Arabidopsis thaliana: one gene and its partners. Each later gene encodes a partner of the first gene's protein in a complex. Each region holds a gene or a part of one and is shown in the gene's direction. Other genes may lie near its edges. The genes, in order: emb2737, FTSH12 and EMB3144.

Evidence for each region.
Region 2: the proteins of emb2737 (region 1) and FTSH12 are in contact, whole or in part, in a cryo-EM structure (PDB 8XKU), measured with the Arabidopsis thaliana proteins. Residues at the interface, in NP_001032071.1 of Arabidopsis thaliana: Thr82, Ile85, Ala86, Leu89, Lys92, Ser160, Ala161, Pro162, Leu163, Pro164, Ser165, Lys166, Ile195, Met196, Glu197, Pro198, Pro199, Ala202, Val205, Leu206, Met209, Tyr211, Pro212, His215, Ser224, Ile225, Phe228, Thr232, Leu233, Ile236; in NP_565212.1 of Arabidopsis thaliana: Lys126 (codon at 2,383), Asn127 (codon at 2,386), Pro131 (codon at 2,398), Ile134 (codon at 2,407), Asn137 (codon at 2,416), Lys138 (codon at 2,419), Trp139 (codon at 2,422), Trp142 (codon at 2,431), Leu156 (codon at 2,702), Ala160 (codon at 2,714), Phe161 (codon at 2,717), Leu163 (codon at 2,723), Leu164 (codon at 2,726), Cys167 (codon at 2,735), Gln168 (codon at 2,738), Tyr171 (codon at 2,747), Met323 (codon at 3,625), Glu327 (codon at 3,637), Leu330 (codon at 3,646), Val334 (codon at 3,658), Ile335 (codon at 3,661), Glu381 (codon at 4,031), Asp382 (codon at 4,034), Leu383 (codon at 4,037), Leu404 (codon at 4,179), Pro406 (codon at 4,185), Tyr407 (codon at 4,188), Phe409 (codon at 4,194), Glu410 (codon at 4,197), Cys413 (codon at 4,206).
Region 3: the proteins of emb2737 (region 1) and EMB3144 are in contact, whole or in part, in a cryo-EM structure (PDB 8XKV), measured with the Arabidopsis thaliana proteins. Residues at the interface, in NP_001032071.1 of Arabidopsis thaliana: Pro63, Glu64, Ser67, Ser70, Tyr71, Ser73, Val74, Val77, Ala78, Leu80, Gly81, Asp84, Ile85, Asp88, Lys92, Cys102, Asn103, Trp105, Gln106, Ala107, Leu108, Arg109, Lys114, Gly115, Thr116, Gly117, Gly173, Thr174, Gly175, Ala176; in NP_201263.2 of Arabidopsis thaliana: Asn149 (codon at 2,848), Phe150 (codon at 2,851), Ser151 (codon at 2,854), Met154 (codon at 2,863), Tyr170 (codon at 2,911), Gly171 (codon at 2,914), Gln172 (codon at 2,917), Arg206 (codon at 3,119), Met207 (codon at 3,122), Pro208 (codon at 3,125), Ile209 (codon at 3,128), Asp210 (codon at 3,131), Gly211 (codon at 3,134), Asn213 (codon at 3,140), Asp214 (codon at 3,143), Asp232 (codon at 3,197), Val233 (codon at 3,200), Val234 (codon at 3,203), Glu237 (codon at 3,212), Thr240 (codon at 3,221), Thr241 (codon at 3,224), Thr244 (codon at 3,233), Phe245 (codon at 3,236), Trp248 (codon at 3,245), Leu252 (codon at 3,257), Phe255 (codon at 3,266), Val256 (codon at 3,269), Tyr259 (codon at 3,278), Asp263 (codon at 3,290), Thr266 (codon at 3,299).

Annotation. Positions count from the first base shown.
Region 1 is NC_003076.8:21,863,380-21,869,380, forward strand, and holds emb2737 (embryo defective 2737), read left to right. Parts: upstream 1-1,888; 5' UTR 1,889-1,973; coding exon 1,974-2,198; coding exon of another isoform or gene 2,199-2,227; intron 2,228-2,552; coding exon 2,553-2,617; coding exon of another isoform or gene 2,618-2,648; intron 2,649-2,753; coding exon 2,754-2,852; intron 2,853-3,053; coding exon 3,054-3,186; intron 3,187-3,403; coding exon 3,404-3,463; intron 3,464-3,630; coding exon 3,631-3,690; intron 3,691-3,779; coding exon 3,780-3,902; intron 3,903-4,036; coding exon 4,037-4,147; intron 4,148-4,261; coding exon 4,262-4,333; intron 4,334-4,444; coding exon 4,445-4,582; intron 4,583-4,668; coding exon 4,669-4,824; intron 4,825-4,910; coding exon 4,911-5,015; intron 5,016-5,164; coding exon 5,165-5,197; 3' UTR 5,198-5,463; downstream 5,464-6,001. Other genes in the region: AT5G53850 (haloacid dehalogenase-like hydrolase family protein), read right to left, coding at 274-321, 710-846, 1,231-1,438.
Region 2 is NC_003070.9:29,924,969-29,932,796, forward strand, and holds FTSH12 (FTSH protease 12), read left to right. Parts: upstream 1-1,790; 5' UTR 1,791-2,007; coding exon 2,008-2,436; intron 2,437-2,665; coding exon 2,666-2,850; intron 2,851-3,056; coding exon 3,057-3,283; intron 3,284-3,479; exon of another isoform or gene 3,480-3,499; coding exon 3,500-3,777; intron 3,778-4,009; coding exon 4,010-4,087; intron 4,088-4,166; coding exon 4,167-4,409; intron 4,410-4,512; coding exon 4,513-4,653; intron 4,654-4,757; coding exon 4,758-4,925; intron 4,926-5,020; coding exon 5,021-5,133; intron 5,134-5,232; coding exon 5,233-5,449; intron 5,450-5,542; coding exon 5,543-5,614; intron 5,615-5,703; coding exon 5,704-5,823; intron 5,824-5,916; coding exon 5,917-6,033; intron 6,034-6,143; coding exon 6,144-6,320; intron 6,321-6,503; coding exon 6,504-6,623; intron 6,624-6,724; coding exon 6,725-6,799; intron 6,800-6,891; coding exon 6,892-6,999; coding exon of another isoform or gene 7,000-7,023; exon of another isoform or gene 7,024-7,058; intron 7,059-7,091; coding exon 7,092-7,172; and 5 more. Other genes in the region: PGK (phosphoglycerate kinase), read right to left, coding at 1-317, 406-666, 755-832, 1,133-1,327. UniProt on the Arabidopsis thaliana protein: Probable ATP-dependent zinc metallopeptidase.
Region 3 is NC_003076.8:25,816,396-25,823,602, reverse strand, and holds EMB3144 (AAA-type ATPase family protein), read left to right. Parts: upstream 1-2,035; 5' UTR 2,036-2,137; coding exon 2,138-2,407; intron 2,408-2,673; coding exon 2,674-2,929; intron 2,930-3,029; coding exon 3,030-3,405; intron 3,406-3,495; coding exon 3,496-3,754; intron 3,755-3,856; coding exon 3,857-3,988; intron 3,989-4,076; coding exon 4,077-4,151; intron 4,152-4,222; coding exon 4,223-4,348; intron 4,349-4,428; coding exon 4,429-4,538; intron 4,539-4,626; coding exon 4,627-4,705; intron 4,706-4,779; coding exon 4,780-4,917; intron 4,918-5,013; coding exon 5,014-5,125; intron 5,126-5,223; coding exon 5,224-5,387; intron 5,388-5,475; coding exon 5,476-5,581; intron 5,582-5,676; coding exon 5,677-5,753; intron 5,754-5,833; coding exon 5,834-5,977; intron 5,978-6,068; coding exon 6,069-6,212; 3' UTR 6,213-6,220; intron 6,221-6,329; 3' UTR 6,330-6,685; downstream 6,686-7,207. Other genes in the region: AT5G64590 (NYN domain protein), read left to right, coding at 402-417, 566-812, 857-1,080, 1,138-1,271. UniProt on the Arabidopsis thaliana protein: Functions in chloroplast biogenesis and chloroplast division. Required for plastid development during embryogenesis. Might be involved in chaperone functions or play a structural role in the thylakoid FtsH complex.

The DNA of each region.
Region 1 (6,001 bases):
ACTGAACCCAGGAAAGATATATTTGATAGTCTAAGGTGGTTCTTTAATAAGTAAAGAGAAGTTACAACCAAAACTCCATTTTCAAGAGTGTTTGTGTAAACATCAATACGCTCTAAATATCAATTCATTTTTCTGAGCCCATTGTGTTTAGTTCTAACACTTCACTACTGAATCCATCTCAACCAGTGCAACCTAGTGGGTATTCTATGGGTCGAAGAAACCCACTTGACACATCCAACGAGGGGATTATTGCTCAAATTGGACAAGTTTTACCTTGTAACCGAGTTTTCGCAAGCGTTTCCCCAAAGAAAGTCGCCTGTTCTGCACTTTTTTTTGGATTGTAATCCAACAGTCATTAGCAAACAACGTATTTGCCATTCCAGTAAAAGATCACTAGCTAAATGGGAGGAAGGACAAAATACCACTAGAAAAGAGCGACGAGCTCTTAACATATTTCGTTCATAACCATGTGCTCTAAGAAAAATCCTTCTTAACAGAAAACATTATAACTTGAAATCCGTAACTGCTGCTCAACACTTTGACGAAATCCAACATTGCTCAACAATTTGAGAAAACAAAAAATGCACAATCATCAAAGAAAATACCATAAGATAAAGAAGGCCAATAGCAAAGTGATAATCAAGCTACGTATACAGAAATCCCTAACGCAGAATCAAGTATTACTACCTTGAAAGCGACAAAACCATACCTTCATGAAAAGTGGAGCACAATCGGTACACTTGGGAGGCTTATTTGGGTATGGCTTTGGAGAGGGTGTAGATATGATGGATCCATTAGCAGATAAGATGTACATATCCTCAGGTTGCATCCTCTCCTTTTGAACACCTTCAAACACAACAAGAATCAGTAAACCGTGAAGCAAATAAAATAACACATAGAATCAGCATTGCAAGATTTTCCTTTCCATTCAACATCTTGCATTGTTAAGTCGCTAATGATTCAAATACACAAAGAGAACGCTTCTAAGCATTGAAAGACCAAACCAATTCTCCACAAAAAGAGTGTTACCAGTGATTTTAAATACACAAAGATGATCTCTAGAAACAGAAACTTTAACTGATAAACGCATTACGCATAGCTCATATAGCAAATTAAAGGTCCACGAGAACAAACACATCAACTCAACAGAGCAACGACACATACATCAGTTCAAAGATGCATCAAAATGAGAATCAAGGAGAAAGAAAGTGACTTTAAGATGTAGAGAACCTGAAGGAGACATGACGATAAGTTGCTCCGGTTTAGGAATCGAAGCATCATGAACTTTCATCGTTATGCTACCGCCAGTGCCAGACACCCAACCTTGAGTATAAAAGTGACGGCAGAGTTCAGTAACCAACGAACTCGTCTCCTTCACCTCCTTCCCTTCCAGATACGCCTGTGGCAACCCGATCATCGCCGCTGCAGCCACCGCCATAGATTCTCAGAGATAGAGAAAGAGGTATAGAGATTGAAAGATTAGAGCTTTGTAGGGGAATGAAACGCAGGTTTATCTGGCGAGCTTTCCTTTGGCTGCTTTCAGAATATGATTCCTTTTTACAATTTCCCTTAATTTTTATTTAATCTAAAGGTCCAAAGTTTCGTAAAGTTTGCATTTTTAAGTACAGCATGTTTCTTGCTTTAGAGTTAGAACAAACATAAAAAAAAAAAAAAACTTTCATAGCAAATTTCAATATTTTTTTTCTATACCACGGCGCTTCCTCCGCCGTATCTTCGCCGTCATCGCCGCAAATATAGAAAAGACGCTCGATTTGGGGATTTCTCAAATTAAACTCCTTGTCGTTTTTCTTACAAAGAAACGACACGTAGTCTAATTAGAAGGTACATGTTTGGTAACAAAGAATAAGTCTAATCCAAAACCGAGATAAGAATAGTGTAAAAACCACTCTTGAAACCTCCTCTTCAAAAATACCAGAGAGCGAGAAAAGCTCTTATCTTCTTCATCTTCTCCAATGTCGAGAGGACCAGGTCGTTTAATACAGAACGTGACACAGTTCGCTGATGCTCAATTCAAACAATTCTCTACTCGTTATGGACAACAAGTTATAGACATTCTCGATTTTCCAATCAAGCTCGTCTTGTCTCCTTTCACTCTCGCCTTTGATATCGCTGGCTCTGCACCTCGTGGTTTTGGCATCCCTGAGTTCATCTCCAAAATTTCGTATCTCTCTGTTTTTGTGAGTTGGTTTCTCCTGAAACTTATATGGTTCTGGGTTTAGAACTTGACATGTAGTTGTCTTAAAGGTTGAAACTTTTGTTGGTTTTTGCTGAGTTTCTAGCTTGAAACTATCATTTTCTTTCTGGGTTTTTGGTAGCTGATGTTTCCGGGGAAATTACGCTTCGAATGTTTGCTAAAGTTTTGAGCTTTAATTTGAGTGTGCCTATATTGTGCTGAATTTCTGTCTGAGTTTGTCAACTTGATTTCTAAGTCGAAGTTTTGTAAGATCAAAATCAGTTTAGGAAACTGGAAAATGCATGTTTTACTTGTTCTATATGGAATCTTTTTATCATTGGAGTTCCATTGATTGCAGGCGGTTGCTACGCTTGGAACTTATGACATTGCATTGGATTTGGGAAAGAAAGTCATATGCCAAAGGTCAGCTTCAAGATTTGATGCTTTATTCTGGGTCAGAGAATTTTTGAGAAACCTCAGTTCTCACACTTCCTCGCTATGTTTTTGGTTCTACTGTTTGAGTTCATCCGATGAGATGAAAACATTTTTTGTTGGTCAGGGATTGCAAAACTTGTAATGGGTGGCAGGCATTACGGTGCACTATGTGCAAAGGAACAGGGAGTGTTCATTACCAAATCAAAGATTACAACTTGAGAAGGTGGGATTATCTCTTGTTTAACCCAAGTTATATCGCTTAAACTACTAGGCTTCATGAATAGATCCACTTTATTCTGACGGTCTCTTTGTGTTCTCTGTATATTAATGTCGACAGTTCCATTTGGCAATGCTTAAGCTATCCTAGTGATATTCTAACAGATAAAAGGATTTAAAGATTTATCCTTTCTGTCTTTACTTGTAGTGGAGAGAAACCAACAGCAGATTGTGTCGCAGATGCTATAGTTGAGAATCGAGCTGAGTTAGTTCATCTTCCCTCCTCCTTCAACCATAGTGCTCCATTGCCATCAAAAGACTGCCCAACTTGTGATGGAACGGTAAGCTTTTTAATCTCGCTCTTAATGCTCTAGGCTTCTGTAAATGTATTTGCACTGCTATATTTGATACTGATTTGGTTTATATCTCCAAATTGTCAACTATGCTAATTTCATATCCACGTAAAAAGGTGCTTGTTTGTGTTAAGAGTGATCGCGATAGGCTGTTTTTCATCAGTGTATGCTTAGAAATTTGATGGAACATCTATTGATATTGAAGGGTGCGATGAGCTGTACTGAGTGCAAGAACAAGCTGCAAGTCAGAATCTCAGCTGATGATGTATGTTTTGAGTCTGCTATTACGTCTTCTCAGCTTAACATCTACATAAATCCCCTGTGGGATGTATATATACTAGTTATTAGAAATGAAATGCACATGGAGAGGTAGTTTGGTTTTGAACAAAACTATCACTTGCTAAATACCTTTACTGACGATTCATTTTGCAGATCATGGAACCTCCATGGAAAGCCTATAATGTGCTGAAGAAGATGGATTATCCGTACGAGGTGAGCACCACAAAGTCTATTTATCAACCCAACAGCTTGCTATGTTTACTACATCTTTACCGTCTTATGAGTCATATTTTCTATTTCAGCACATTGTTCACAGCATGAAAGATCCCAGCATTGCAAATTTCTGGTTGATCACTTTGCCTCAGATTGTGGGTGGGTTTGATTATGATGAAGATGTCAAGAAGAAAATATGGTGGCAATATGAGGTTAGTATCTCTTTCTACATATGTAGATCTCCTTCAGCATGAGTTATTTGCCAGGCTTCACTTTTGAGGTTATGGTCTTCTAGAGGCTTAAAGCATGCATACCGTAAAAGGTTTAGTCTACAATTACCTGATAGTTGAATCTTCTTAATCCTCATTTGGGATGGTTTTGCTACACCAACATAGTTTCGATTCCATATCTGGATAGGTTTGTGCTATGGAATTGGAGACATTTGTGGGATACTGATGTACTCAGGGATCTGTATTGCATAGAATTTTCTGTTCAATAGGAACTATTGTTGTTGAATACTTCAGCTTTAAGCATCAATGAGAGTTTAACTATTTATGTCTTCTGTGATCAGGAATCTATGCGATATGATCAACTTCGGGACTTGGTGGCTAAACGCAATCCTGGCTGGGAATATTTGCAGGATGTAAGATCGCCTATTTGTGGTTTTAAAGTTTAGGCAAATCTGGGGAACTACATTGGAATATGTTAGCTGAAGAAGTTTAGCAATCACCATATAGTTGTCATGGTTTTACAGGCCTTGGTCTCCATTGATCCTGTCCGTGCTCGGGAAGACCCCGTCATAGTGAAGAATGTCCCTTATTACAAGGCTAAGAAATCTCTGGAGGCTGAAGTCACGAAACTCAATCCACCTCCCCGTCCTCAGAATTGGGGTGTAAGCTTTCTTCTTCTTTTTGGTTTTAGCATCACAGTTCCTGAGACCACGGGTATAGTTAAGAACTAACTGCTGAACATGTACAGGAACTGAATCTCCCATTGAATATTTCCTCTTGGAGTGAAGAGGATCTCAAAAACCCGGCAAAACTGTACGAGAAGACAGTTCTTCTCAATGCTCAAAGAGAAATCGCAGACAAAATCTTGGATGCACAATGGGAAGCTAAATGGCGTCAAGAGAAGGTTAATCAAGGAACTTTTTTACACAATTCGGTATTCATATCACATTCACGACTCCAATGCATACCGTTTATCTTTTTGATTTGTAGGTGGAGGAAATGTTGGAGCAGAAAGTGAGACCTTACATCCAAGACTCAAGCATGGCTGTTCTTCCACAACCCATCTTGTTAAAGTCACAGAAGAAAGCTCAAAAGGTATCAATTGAATTGGTTACAAGAATAAGCCTACTTGATATCATTCTCTCTTACACACTAAATAAGGTTCCAAATTAGATCATACAAGAAGCTCTTTGCCTGAAAATAGAACCTAAGATCACATGTTGATTTATATGTTTATTACACAGGGAAGCCGGCAAAGGAAGTGGTGGTTCTTCTAACCTGCCAAGTGTGTCGAAACGAATCTATATAAAATGGATTTTGAATTGAGTTTTTTTGTGCTTCTTTGATGAAAATATGCTTTGATATGAATCTTGATGGGTGTCAAATATGATTACACTTCAAAATCAGTTGTAATGTTTTAAAAGAAATGTTGTTTTTGCAGACACTTGGCAGATTCGTTGTGTACCGCCACGTGTATACGATGATCTTTCTTTCATGCTTTGAACTTAGTTTTCGTCTTTCTCCTATCAATCACTCTCTCTATAATTCCTCGTGTCTCACCGTCACATTTCAACAAGTTACGTGTGTCTTTCATGTTATGGTATTACGAAAGATCTTTACCCTTTTTTTAATTAAATATCTATCGACATCATTTTGGATAGAACTTAAACTTAATTGACAAATGGAACTTATCAAATTTTTTTATTTTTTTGGAATTTATCAAATTGGTATTGTTCAATTGAGAAGTATTAGATATATCAAGCTCTTGTTATCAATAGACAATAGTTACTTCAAGGTTTTAGCATTTGGTTTTATCGTTTTTTTAGGAAATCACATGTTGACCTTCACGTACGTGGAGCAGGTAAAAGAATTTAATAAGTGTTTCATTTTATTACAAAGTCGTGTATAAACTCGTATTGTGGTCCGTTCAAATCCTACATTGCAAATTTGCAATTAGTCCTTTACTTGTTTTCATTTTTTGGACTGTTTTATTCTTACACCATAAATGGGAATACGTAGATCGCATTTATTTGGACGTTGAATTATATAAGCATTTGAACTTTAGACCCGCAACGATAAAG
Region 2 (7,828 bases), on another chromosome or scaffold:
TTGCTGTTAGCATCGGGAGCAAACTTGTCAGCAATAACCACATCGGTTGGGAGCAAGAGAGAGACACCTTTGGCCTTTGCTTTCTCCATGAGTGACTTTGCCAAGTCAAGCTTGTCCTCCTCCACAAGGGAAGATCCGACTGAGAGTCCTTGTGCCTTGTAGAAAGTAAAAATCATACCTCCACCGAGCAGGAGGATGTCAACTGTGTTCAAGAGAGACTCAATGACACCAATCTTTGTTGAAACCTTTGAGCCTCCAACAATGGCAGCAAAAGGCTTCTTGGGGTTTGCCACAGCTCCGACAAGGTAATCAAGTTCCTGACACAATAAAACAAGTAATAGTCTGATCAGTAAAATAAAGAGACTCATCTAAGAAGATACTCTTTATGCTGCAAATTTTAAATACCTTCTGCATGAGGAAACCAGCAACTGAAGGCTTCAAGAATTTGGCAACTCCCTCAGTGGAAGCATGAGCTCTGTGAGCAGTTCCGAAGGCATCATTAACGTAAACATCGGCAAGAGCAGCAAGCTTCTTTGCAAATTCAGGATCATTCTTCTCTTCCTCGGCGTAGAACCTCACATTCTCCAAGAGCAAAACACCACCTTCAGGTAGTCCTGCAACCAACTTCTGGACTTCCTCACCAATAGAGTCATTTGCCATTACAACCTATTAACACAAACAGAGTGAGAACAGTGTTCTTTTAAAAGCTAATGTTCAGAAACCTTGCAAGTCTAGAAGAGGAAGAGGAACAAACCTCAACACCAAGAAGTTCAGACAATCTGGGCACAAGAGGCTTTAAGCTGTACTTAGGAGTAACACCTTTTGGGCGGCCCTGAAACATAAATTGAGATCAGATACATCCATTAATTCAACAGCATCATCCAATTGAACTTGAGTATAAACATATCCAAGTAAACTTACTAAAACAATTACCCAAACAACACCAGAAAATCAACCGATAGAGTCAATGAACATATTGAAAAACAAGAATACTATATCTACATCCTAACATGCAAAGAGACTCTTCTTATACGCATGGCTCTCCGGATAAACAGATCAGATCAAAATTCCCACACCAAAATTACAACAGATAAGCAAGTAGTGAAGTGAGAACTGAGATAAGATATCATACCAAGTGACTGCAGAGAACAACCCTAGATCCATTACCCATCAAGTACTTGATGGTGGGAACAGCGGCACGAATCCTGGTGTCATCGGTGATGTTAGAGTTATCATCCAAAGGAACGTTGAGATCAACCCTCACGAACACACTCTTTCCCTTCAGATCCGCTTCCTTCAAAGTTCCAACGCTTCTCTTCGTCGCCATAGTTGATTCTTCGTAAAACAAACTAAAAACACTGCAAACAACAAGATGCACACCGCGAGTTCAGATTGACGGAGAAATCAACCAAATCGGTGAAACAGATCTAGAGAATCTAGCTCAAAACTTAATCGAAGAAAACAATCGGAATCTGAAGAAAGAATATACTTACATGAGTGGTTGAAATGAAATACAAGATGATCGAACGTTACAGAGGCTGGTATAAAGAGTTGGTGAATGGATCTTTCGAGAAGCGAGAGAACAATATCCCTTCCTTATATAAAAGCAGCTTGGACAACACCCCAAGAAATGTCCCTATAATTACCCTTTTTGCCACTGTGTCTCTCCTTGGATTCCACGGTTTAAATATATTATTTTTCGGATAGTGGGCTGATGGACCTTAATGGGCTAGCCCAATTATATAACTAATAGGCTTCGAGCCTCTTTGAGTTTAAGCGTCATCTTTCTCCTTCGAAGTATTAGGACACTCTCAACGACGGATCAGTGTAGATAAACCTCCTTACCGGAGAGAAGCGTAAGTCTTGCCGGAGAGTCGAGTGAGCTGAATGGTTGGTACTCACCATTTTCCTTCAGTAATTTTCTCAGAGAGAGCTCTTTAATCGGGAAAAATCTTCAAATGCGTCTGGTTTTGTTCTCTTTTTAATTTTTTTCTTGTGATTTCATTCATGGAGATTGCAATTTCGTATAAACCGAATCCGCTTATCTCTTCATCGACTCAGTTGTTGAAAAGATCAAAAAGTTTTGGTCTTGTTCGGTTTCCCGCCAAGTATGGACTGGGAGCTACCCGGAAAAAACAGCTCTTTCGAGTCTATGCGTCTGAAAGTAGTAGTGGGTCTTCATCTAATAGCGATGGAGGCTTTTCGTGGGTGAGATTGGCTCAGTCTATTCGCCTTGGTGCCGAGCGGATTGGGGAGAAGATTGGAGAATCTGTGAAGACAGAAATTGGGTTTGACTCGGAAGAAGCAAGTGGGAGAGTGAATGAGTATGTGGCTCGAGTTAAGGATAGTGTGCACAAGGGCCATCACGAGCTGACTCGCTTTAAGAATGAGACAGTGCCTTCGTTTATTGATTGGAACAAGTGGGAGCATTGGAAGGTAAGCTGGTTCAGCTTTTTAACGTAATTATCAAATTTCTGATTCTCAAGTATTGTTAGACTTCTGCTTGTGTTCTAAAACATTGAGGGACAAACGTATGGTATTTATTTATTTTGTTGTTGATTTAACGGAAGCATAAATTTTGGAGGAGACTACAACTACGCTTATTCTAGCGACATATACTAGTGTATTAGGTTGTTTCTTAATGAGGGAAGATGTATTGTATCAGGACATCAGGAATTGGGACGGTAAACGAGTTGCTGCCTTGTTCATATATGCTTTTGCGCTGTTACTTTCTTGTCAAAGAGTTTATGTTGCCATCCAAGCTCCTCGGGTAGAACGAGAGAGAAGAGAGTTAACAGAGTCTTTTATGGAGGCTTTGATCCCCGAGCCATCTCCTGGAAATATAGAAAAGTAGGTGCTTCCTAATCCTCAGTTTCCGATTGTAATTTTCTCTACTGGGACATGGTAAAATATGGTTCATATTCAAACTATGGTATCATCCTTTAACAAGTAAATACTCAGCTAATGAGGCATCTAAAGCGTCAAGAGTGGGAAGACTAAAAGAACTTCTGTTTATTTGATTTTGTAGAATGTCCTGACTTATTCTAGTGTTTCAGGTTCAAGAGAAATATGTGGAGGAAAGCAACACCTAAAGGCTTGAAATTAAAAAGGTTCATTGAAGCGCCTGATGGAACACTTGTCCACGATAGTTCTTATGTTGGAGAAAATGCGTGGGATGACGATCTAGAGACCACAGAGGGATCTCTCAAGAAAATAATTGGTAGAAATGCTAGGATTCAGACAGAGGCAAAGAAGAAACTAAGCCAAGATCTGGGTGTCTCTGGTCAGTATACATTCGTTAGGTGATACTTGTTTAGTAGTGGCATGCTGAAGATATAACAAGAAGTGATTTATTGTGCGAAACCTTTGTTTTTGACGACCTAATCTTATCTCACTAATCAAGTTTCTTTCAGAGCAGCACTTCTAGATCCCTCATCTACTATCATTGGTAACCTGTGCTTTTGACCATCTAATCCTCTATTGCATTCTTCTATGATAGGTGAAATTGGAGACAGTGTAGGTAATTGGCGGGAAAGGCTTGCAACCTGGAAGGAAATGTTAGAACGAGAAAAATTATCAGAACAGTTAAACTCCTCAGCGGCGAAGTATGTGGTTGAATTTGATATGAAAGAGGTAGAGAAAAGTCTTCGCGAAGATGTTATTGGAAGGACATCTGAAACTGAGGGAACTAGAGCTCTCTGGATATCAAAGAGATGGTGGCGATATCGCCCTAAGCTTCCCTATACCTACTTCCTTCAGAAGCTTGATTCTTCTGAGGTACAGCTCTAACCTATACTCTTGTCCGGCTTTGGGATTGTGAGTGGCAAGTGTCATTATATCCAGTTGAATTTTTTAAATGATAACAAGTGATGGTATATTCATTATGAGTTAAAATATGATGAATATATTCCTTTTCCAAAGCAATTAATTTGAAGCTGGACGTGATAGGATGATAGATCTTTTTTTTAGCTTATGTTGGCACGATAATCTGTGTATGTGTTCATAACAGGTTGCAGCTGTTGTTTTCACGGAAGACCTAAAGAGATTGTATGTGACCATGAAAGAAGGTTTCCCTCTAGAATATATTGTAAGTAAAAAAATTATAGTTGCAAGTATTTGGAAATGAATGATGTACATTCACCATGTCATATCCTTTTTATTTCTAGGTTGACATTCCCTTAGATCCTTACTTGTTTGAGACTATTTGCAACGCCGGAGTTGAGGTGGATCTTCTTCAGAAGAGGCAGATCCACTACTTCATGAAAGTTTTCATTGCACTTCTGCCGGGGATACTAATTTTATGGTTTATAAGAGAATCTGCCATGCTTCTCCTTATCACATCCAAGCGCTTTCTCTACAAGAAGTATAATCAGCTGTTTGATATGGCTTATGCAGAAAATTTTATATTGGTAATCATCGTTACTGTATACCATTAACCTCGTTACTTCTTTGTTTAGTTGCCTTCTTCCCACATATTCACACTTCTATTGATGAGTTTTAATTATCATACAGCCGGTTGGAGATGTCAGTGAGACAAAATCAATGTATAAGGAAGTGGTACTAGGCGGTGATGTCTGGGATCTTCTTGATGAGCTAATGATCTACATGGGGAACCCAATGCAATACTATGAAAAAGATGTGGCTTTTGTCAGGGTAAATTACATCTTGACCCAAAAACTAACATGTGGATATTGGTTTATTCCATTTAACTGTCTAAGCTAAGCTCAAACTCTCCTCTGTTTTCATTTTTGAGTCAGGGTGTGCTTCTTTCTGGACCTCCTGGAACTGGAAAAACACTTTTTGCGCGAACACTTGCAAAGGAAAGTGGGCTACCATTTGTGTTTGCATCTGGTGCGGAGTTCACAGACAGTGAAAAAAGTGGTGCTGCAAAGATCAATGAGATGTTTTCAATCGCGAGACGAAATGTAAGGTTCTTAGTTATGTGTTTTAAAGCTCATACGGTATAGTTGTCTTCTACTCACACTATTATTGTGGATCTAATTTTATATACTATCTCCAGGCCCCTGCTTTTGTGTTTGTGGATGAAATAGATGCTATTGCTGGTAGACATGCTAGAAAAGATCCACGGAGAAGAGCAACTTTTGAAGCTTTAATTGCGCAACTCGATGGGGAGTAAGAGAATCTGCACTTGTTTATAAATCTTAGTGATATGTACATGTTTTCATCGGGTTTGTATCAAGGCTTTCATACTTAATATTGTACCACCTGCAGGAAAGAGAAGACAGGTATCGATAGGTTTTCTTTGAGACAAGCTGTGATATTTATCTGTGCTACCAATAGACCTGATGAACTCGACCTTGAGTTTGTCCGTTCTGGCCGTATTGACCGTCGGCTGTATATTGGGTTGCCTGATGCAAAGCAAAGGGTGCAAATATTTGGAGTTCACAGTGCTGGGAAGAACCTTGCAGAAGATATAGACTTTGGGAAGGCAAGTTGTTTTCCTGCTATTTTTCAATCCCAATAACATGTTTGATATAGGTGTTTGCTCATTCATAACAACTATATCCTTTTTCACATCCAGCTTGTTTTTCGAACGGTTGGCTTTTCCGGGGCAGATATCCGGAATCTTGTTAACGAAGCGGCTATAATGTCGGTATGTCATATTCTTATGTGGATCTCAATTTCCCAATTTAGTTATACCATTTCTAGAGGAGCGTTGTTGATCGTAATCCAATTTTACAGGTAAGGAAGGGACGTTCTTACATATATCAACAAGACATTGTTGATGTGTTAGATAAACAATTGCTCGAGGGTATGGGTGTACTTCTTACAGAGGAAGAGCAACAGAAATGTGAACAAAGTGTTCGTACTGACATCCTTTGTACTATTTATCTCAAAACATACTATGCTCCACAGCTAAAAAAGCCCTAACCGTTAAAGCTTATGTAATATTAGGTATCTTACGAAAAGAAGAGACTTCTGGCTGTTCATGAGGCTGGTCATATAGTGTTGGCTCATTTGTTTCCTCGATTTGACTGGCATGCATTTTCGCAGCTCCTTCCTGGTGGCAAGGTCTGTTTCAAATATATATTTTTCAGTTGTAATGATAGTGGTGTTTGAACACTCAACAGTCAACACAGTGTAAGAATGGATTAAATAAACTTTTCTCTTGAATCTTACAGGAAACTGCTGTATCGGTTTTCTATCCACGTGAAGACATGGTAGACCAAGGGTATACCACGTTTGGTTATATGAAAATGCAAATGGTGGTAGCTCATGGTGGACGCTGTGCTGAACGTGTGGTTTTTGGCGATAATGTCACTGATGGAGGAAAAGATGACCTGGAGAAGATAACAAAAGTAAGTACTCTCCCTTTCTCGTTTAACTAATTACTGTGCCTTGCTTTTCAGCTTCTGATTAAACCTTCAACTCGGTAGCTAAAATAACATCTATGTAACTGCATATCTGCAAAGTGCTTGTGTTTTGAGTAATATTAATGTTTAGTCTTCCATTCTAAATTTGACCTGACATTACATTTTCAGATTGCCAGGGAGATGGTGATTAGCCCTCAAAGTGCGAGATTAGGTCTCACTCAACTTGTAAAAAAGATTGGAATGGTGGATTTACCAGATAACCCAGACGGCGAGCTGATAAAATACCGGGTATATCCATTAATCAGAGACTGATACTATCCCATTTTTGCTGATCTTACATATTCTCAGTAGTTCCTCACGTTCTTTTCAACTTGGTGATGTTATATCAGTGGGACCATCCTCATGTAATGCCAGCAGAGATGTCGGTAGAAGTATCCGAGCTATTCACCCGTGAGTTGACAAGGGTAATTTATCTTCGACTCAGCACACCTAATCTGATTTAAACTCTCCCATGTGGAGCTTGAACATATAGATGGTATTTGAATGTTGGTGACAGTATATCGAGGAGACTGAAGAACTTGCGATGAATGCTCTGAGAGCAAACAGGCACATTCTGGACTTAATCACCAGAGAGTTATTAGAAAAATCAAGGATTACTGGATTGGTACACTTTCTGAAACTTCAATGACAATTCATTATGACCTTTTATGTGCTTAGATACTCTCAGTCTGAAGAAATATTGCTTTCATTTTGTAGGAAGTGGAAGAGAAAATGAAGGATCTTTCTCCGTTAATGTTTGAGGATTTTGTGAAGCCATTCCAGATAAACCCTGATGATGTAGTCTATATATTATCTTCTTGTTGATCCTCAATCCTCAGCTCTAGTTCCCATTTTAAGTGTGTGACACTAGTTGTTCTTTCTTTTCAGGAGGAGCTTTTACCTCACAAGGATCGAGTGAGCTATCAGCCAGTTGATTTACGTGCTGCGCCACTCCACAGAAGCTAGAAGCTTTACTCTTATCCTGTCACACCACAGGATTGTTCCCAACTTCTTCAATAGTGAAAACCAAAAAGGTTTGATCAATCTAAAAAAATCATCTTAAAAGAGCTTTTGCCCCCCATCATTGGTTTAGGTATAGAATATCCGCAGTTATGTTCCTGGCCCAGCCGGATTTTGTACTGTGTCTGTCTGTATTTGATGATATATATCTGCAGTTGAACATTTTCAGAGAAACCATATGATATGCTCACATAAGAAAACCTTTCCTGTTATTTGCCTGGTCAAGAATTCTTCATCTTTGCAAACACAGTGCATAGCTATAAAAGGGATGCATGTGTATTCAACAGATACATGTGACAAAACAATTTCAACCAACTGGAATAAACTTTTCAACTTTTTTTTGTTTGTTTTTGTTAAAGAACAAAAAAAGGAAAGGAGAAGGATCAAGAAATATCTCTCTCCAAACCCCAAATCGAAAAAGTATAAAAGAATTG
Region 3 (7,207 bases), 4.0 Mb from region 1:
ATATGTTATATAAAAGACTAAGTATTTAGAGAAATATACGGTTTTATATTACAATATTTTGACCCCGGTAAGTTCCTTATCTTTTTTTACGTCTTTGGAGATTTACATATATTAGGAACAATATACGTAGTATGATTAAGATTTAAGATGGCTAAATTTATTTGGATTAGATTCTGTTCATGGATTTGAAATTTGTCTTCCCTAGACATCATACTCGGAATATTACCGTTTTACTAAGATTTGCAGACATCAACAACCCATTTATTGGGCCAAGCCCGTAGGTTTGTGGCCCACTTGACACCGCTACCGAGAAACATAAAAAGAAGAAGATTAGCGCCAACCTTGTTCTCTCTTTAATCTTCAGCAAGCAAGCATCTAGTTTTCTCGACCGATCCAAAACGATGCCTAAGTTCAGCGGTAAGATATATATGTTTTCTCTGGAAATTGTAATCTCCTTGTCCTTGAAAGCGTTAGATCTGTTGTGATGCAGTTTGGAATTTGATGTGATCGATCTTTCATAGCAAGTTAGTCGATCTAATCAGTTTTGTAATATGGTAAAACCTAGGAGGAGGGCATAGTACAGTCTTCTTTTGGGATGTCGAGGATTGCCCGGTCCCTGATGGTCTCACTGCTGAGGCTGTTTGGCGGAACATGAGAATGGCCCTTGCGAATAATGGTGAGTATCTTGGAAGGTGCGAAATCACCGGTTTTGGTGATTACTCTCTGGCCACGAAACACGCTGGAATCGGGATGATGTGCTCCCCTTTAGGTCAATTACACACACTCTCTCTATCTTTTACATATATATATAGGTATGTATCTTGTTGTTGATCCTGAGTTGATAATATGGTTTCAGGAGACAGACGTACCAGACAGAGCAAGATTTTAGTGGAATTTCTTTGCCGGGCAATCAGATCACCTTCCCAAACAAAATTTGTGCTGATCCTGGGAGACATCTCAGGCCACTCGGGGATAAAGATGCCAGACTTGAGAAGATTATTGTAGACTTTCTTTGCTGCGCAATTGGCAATCCTGAAATAGATAACTTGATGCTCATCGTGGGAGACCTCTCGGGTCACAGTGAGTTCGAATTGGCTGCTCACCTTATGAGATGTCTAAATTTCACTGTTTTCTTAGCACAGCCTCAAAACGCATCACAACAGCTACTTAAAGCTGTACCTACAAAATGGCTTTGGTCAAGCTTATCAGCTGCACGGAACGCTGAGCTAGCGTTGAATGCTAAGCTGCTGAACGGGTCGAGTTTGAAATGATTGTGTTGCTTTTTATGGGTCTCCAACTTCTCTGCGTGCAAAGATCCTTGTAGCCTTCTTCTACTCGGTCTGGCTCTGCCTAAGATCGCATTTGACTCTTTTATTCAAAGGTTTCTGGTTGTTTTTATGTCTTTTCTATCTGGTATGCATAATAACTCGGATCTTTGAGTATTACTTTGCATCTATCTATTTTGCTTTCCCTGTTTTGTTTAAAACTCCTAAGTCGTAACCAATGCTTTCCTCTTAACCATTAACCAATTTGAAAGTTTAGCAAAAAGGTCATAAGTTTTTGATTCTTTTGGAATCATCCTAATTAATAGAGAGAACATGTTGTGAAACTGATGCATGACCAAGCAAAAAACAAAATTACCGAGACAAAAAGTCCCCTTTTCTTTTGCTTTTAACACGGAACCATCCGATTCCACAACCAAAGCATGGAAGAGGTTTTGTCATATGATCCATGTTCAACCTTATCGACGTCTTTTACAATTGTGTACACATCATCTATATCATACATACAGAGCAAATGTCTCTTAGTTGACTAGAGAATGAACCAGAATATATAATGATACATATTGAAAGAGTTTCCTTTATGGATTGAGAAAGAGCTTCACCGGTTCGGTATCTTCATAATTAGCACATTTGAAAGTCAACCGGTGATGTCCGGTTACAATAGAACCGGTAATCTCTTAAAACGGCGCGTTTGAGAAACTGTTAAAAACGCACCGTTTCGATCGTCTTTTTCAATCTTCGTGAAGAACCCACCAGCTTCAAATTTCACCTCTAGAAAGTTTGTTGCTATCGTTTCTCTTTGCACTTAGAAATCGAGGGGAAATTTTTCCCAGCTCTAATCTAATGACTGAACAATGACGTTTTATATCTCGAGCTCGTTAACTCCAACCCATTTCTCGAAACCCTTAAACCCTTCTAATACCCTCTTCCCCAGTCAATTTCGAGGTTCTCTGTCTAGTTTCGTCCGTCGAAGAAAACCAACGGAAGCTAAATTAAGCTCCAAATTCAATCTTTTTCCTTCACGAAGAAATGGTTTGATTACTTGTTGCAGTACATCGAGCTTTGAGTCTACTGAGTCTTCAGTTTCACAGGAAGAAGATGCTGAGTCCAATCGTCTATTTGAGGTTTATCTCTATTTCAAATTATAGCTAGAATTATCCAATTCTAGGGCTTTCGTTTCTAGAATGCAAAGTGAAGAACTTGCAAGCTAATAAGTGATACTCAGTTTCGGACTTTGATCGTATACTTGTGTAGTTTCTGTTGAAGAGGTTATGTTTGCATTCAATACTTGAAACATTTTTTGGTTGTAGCTTAATTGATATACTTATTCCTCATTTTGTTTAATGGAGTTTTCAAAGCTTTAATTCGTTTTATCTTTTGGTTTTTGTAGAAGTTACGAGAAACTGAAAGAGAACGACTTAGCAACATGGAAGAGCTCGAGAGAAAGGCTAATGTACAATTAGAAAGGCAGCTTGTTATGGCATCAGATTGGAGTAGAACATTGTTAACCATGCGTGGCAAGTTAAAAGGAACAGAATGGGATCCTGAAACCTCTCACCGTATCAATTTTAGTGATTTTATGAAGCTCTTAGATTCCAACAGTGTTCAATACATGGAATATTCAAATTACGGACAGACGATATCAGGTGAGAAGTTTCAAAAAGTTTCGATACATTGCATCTAACTGCTTGAAATCTAGACATGGTGTTCTTGAAATCTTTTGCCTAAGTTTTGTTGTTGTTGCAGTGATATTGCCTTATTATAAAGATGGGGAGCCCCTAGGAGAAGAAGAAGATTCGAAAAAGGAGATAATTTTCCGTCGTCACATTGTGGACCGAATGCCAATTGATGGTTGGAATGATGTATGGAAGAAGTTGCATCAGCAGATAGTAAACGTAGAGGTTTTCAATGTAGATGTGGTTCCAGCTGAAGTCTATACTACAGTTGCCACTTTTGTGGTTTGGTCTATGAGACTTGCCCTCTTTGTTTCGCTTTATGTTTGGATCGACAGTATCACGAGGCCAATCTATGCCAAACTAATCCCTTGTGATCTCGGAACCCCTACCAAAAAGATAAGGCAGCCCCTCAAGCGCCAAGCACTCGGTTCCCTAGGCAAGAGTCGGTATGTTTAGAAATGCTCGACTTCCTTTGATATTGACCTCTTCTGCTCAAGTTTGTTGGATCTAAGTTTATGTTTGGTTCTCTCTGTAAGGGCAAAATTTATATCAGCAGAGGAGAAAACTGGTGTTACTTTTGATGATTTTGCGGGTCAGGAGTATATAAAGAGGGAATTACAAGAAATTGTGCGAATTTTAAAGAATGATGAGGAATTTCAGAATAAAGGCATTTATTGTCCGAAAGGTGTTCTGCTTCATGGACCTCCCGGAACGGGGAAAACTTTGTTAGCCAAAGCTATTGCTGGAGAAGCTGGTTTACCTTTCTTCGCGGCAAATGGAACCGACTTTGTTGAGGTGAGTGATTGATTGTGTCAACATGAATAACAGTGCTAAATATCTTGGTTTTTTAAGGTCTTGAGTTAATGGAGTTTTCCTGTTTTTGTTTAAATCTCTCAGATGTTTGTAGGAGTGGCTGCATCTCGTGTTAAAGATCTTTTTGCTAGCTCTCGGTCATATGCGCCATCTATAATCTTCATTGATGAGATTGATGCAATTGGAAGTAAGCGAGGTGGACCCGATATTGGCGGGGTAAGAATGCAATGCTTTCTTGTTCCGGAAATTAGATTTTAGTATAAGAGATTTAACTTTCTTTAGAAATGTGTTACTCACTGAATAGGGAGGAGCAGAGAGAGAACAAGGTTTGCTTCAAATATTGACTGAGATGGATGGATTTAAAGTTACTACATCACAAGTAATGTTTCCCTTTGCTATATAGTTTTTTTTCAATAAACAATACTTGCTAGTAATCATGGATTTTGTCAGGTATTAGTCATAGGTGCAACAAATAGATTAGATATCCTTGATCCTGCTCTATTGAGAAAAGGTCGTTTTGACAAAATCATAAGAGTTGGTTTACCGTCAAAAGATGGTAGATTGGCGATATTAAAGGTAATTAATTTTACTTTTCTGGATATGACGAGTTTTGGTTGGCTTTGTGCTTTAACGAAAAGTTCTGTTTGTAACTAAAGGTACATGCTAGAAATAAATTCTTTCGATCTGAGGATGAGAAGGAGGAGTTGCTGCAAGAAGTAGCTGAGAACACGGAAGATTTTACCGGAGCAGAACTGCAAAACGTTCTGTAATATACAATGCTACAGCTTCAACTATGTATTTAGATGCAGAGGGAAAAAAACAGAAAACACTGATCTTTGGTTAATTGTTTACAGAAATGAAGCTGGAATCTTGACAGCTAGAAAAGATTTGGATTACATTGGAAGAGAAGAACTCCTTGAGGCGCTTAAGCGGGTAACTAGTGTTTGATATCCAGTTTATCCATGCTTAGGTGCTGCTTTAGCAAATTCTGATTCCACTCCTTACAGCAAAAAGGGACATTTGAGACTGGACAAGAAGATAGTACTGAAGTTCCAGAGGAACTGAAGTTGAGATTGGCTTACCGAGAAGCAGCTGTTGCTGTTCTTGCTTGTTATCTCCCAGATCAATATCGTCCAATCAGCGAGGTTTATTAAGAAACTTGAGTGCAGTTTCCTTCATGTGTTATTTTGAATTATAGCATTACTAAGACCATTTTTTGTATCATGTGCTTCTCTCTGCAGACTGACATAAACTCGATTAGAAGCCAACCAAATATGCGTTACTCTGAAACTTCAGGAAGAGTTTTTGCGAGAAAGTCAGATTATGTGAACTCAATAATCCGTGCATGTGCTCGTAAGTTGCAAAGCCAAACTTGTCAACACTTTCTCTTTTTCGTTATAGATCACAAAAATCTCTGTCGCTTACTTCATCCCCTTGTTTGTGTCGTATAGCTAGAGTAGTTGAAGAAGAGATGTTTGGAATAGAAAACCTGTGTTGGATCTCTGCTAAGTCTACTTTAGAAGCTTCACAGCGAGCGGAATTTCTGATTCTTCAGACGGGAATGACTGCTTTTGGAAAAGCTTATTACCGAAACCAAAGAGACCTCGTTCCTAATGTAAGTTTTATATATGTACTTGTTACCTCTTTATTTTTAGCTCTTGAGAATCTCAGAAACACCAATTTCGATTCTCCTTCGTGTATAGCTTGTTCCGAAACTTGAGGCATTACGCGATGAGTACATGAGGTTTGCTGTTGAGAAATGCTCATCAATCTTACAAGAGTATCAATCAGCCCTTGAAGAAATCACAGGTTTAGAATAATATCATATCCTCTCTGCTTCGTCATTGCAATGGCAGATATCACCATACACTCAACAATCTTAAAGAGTGTAATAATATTTTCAGATGTGCTTCTTGAGAAAGGAGAAATCAAAGCCGATGAAATCTGGAACATTTACAACACAGCTCCAAGGATTCCTCAAGTTAGTTATCTTTCTCAATCTTATCTCTCTGTATTGATTTTTTTTCCGGTTTTTCCAGATCCTTTGATTCATGAAAACAGAAACCCGTGAGACCTGTCGATGAGTATGGAGCTTTAATCTATGCGGGAAGATGGGGAATTCACGGTGTATCGCTTCCTGGAAGAGTAACATTTTCACCAGGAAACATTGGTTTTGCAACATTTGGAGCTCCTCGTCCCATGGAGGTATGTAGTAGAAACAAACCACTCATAGATCATAACAAGATTAAACTTTTTTCTTCTCTTATATAATACTCTTGTGCTATGTTTGATGCAGACACAAATCATCAGCGATGACACATGGAAACTAGTGGATGAGATTTGGGATAAAAAGGTTGAAGAAATCAAAGCAGAAGCTGTTATTCAAATTGAAGAAGAAAAGAAGAAACCTCAGATTTTGATGGCAACCCATTTCTTTTAAAATCATTTGTAAGTTTCTCAGATTCACGGTTTTGTTAAACATCAATAACCAGCCAGCAGTGTCCAGAAATGCTAACATGAATTGCTGATTTGTTACTGTTTTTTTTTTGTTTTTCAGTTCAGTTTTGCGGTCTCAAGAACATCAAATGAACAAAGCTCTCCAGGTGAAACTTTAGAGATTATTATGTATCATGTAAAACATAGAGATCTGTAGAAAAGAGTGTTAGTGGAATCACACTAGTTTATTTGCTGAGAAAAATGTCAAATGTGATCATTTTTATAAAATATTTTGTTATTTTTATTTAATTGATGCAAATTTGCTTGGCTGTGTAGGGCATGGGCCAAAACAAAAAAAAGAAAGTAGATACAATCTCATCTCACTTTTTTCAAAATCAGATTGCTTTTTTCATGACCAATTTGGATATCATTATCTATATTAACAATCATAGAAATGTTGAAATACATTTGCAATTTGAACACCTAACCAATGGCGACAATAAAGTCGCAGGTCGATATCGTCAATACTATAATCTTTGCATGTGATATTTTCCTTCTTCTTTTTTTCAGCTTCTACATTTTTTATTTGAGATTCAATCTATACATATCTGCAAGAAACCAAATTAAAAAGCATCTTAATGTCATACATTAGACTGTGCAACCAACGCTTGGAGTGACGCCACTAATGGTGTTATTGAAGTTCCTTTATTACTTAGTGTATAACTTATTTTTTATTCGTGGCAGGTTTGCACATAATTACATAGCCTTAATGCTAACATGTTATTTTCATGACGATCGGATACATACACATAACCGAATATCTTATCCAGTTTTGATAATTATGAACAAAATCTTTTTTCAAAATAAAATAATGATGATGAATATATACAAGGTTACATATATAATGGGATTATGGGACATGCCTCTTCTATTTTATATTAAGAATATTTTGGGGTTTGAGAAATGTGAACAATTACAATAATTGACAGTAGTTATGTC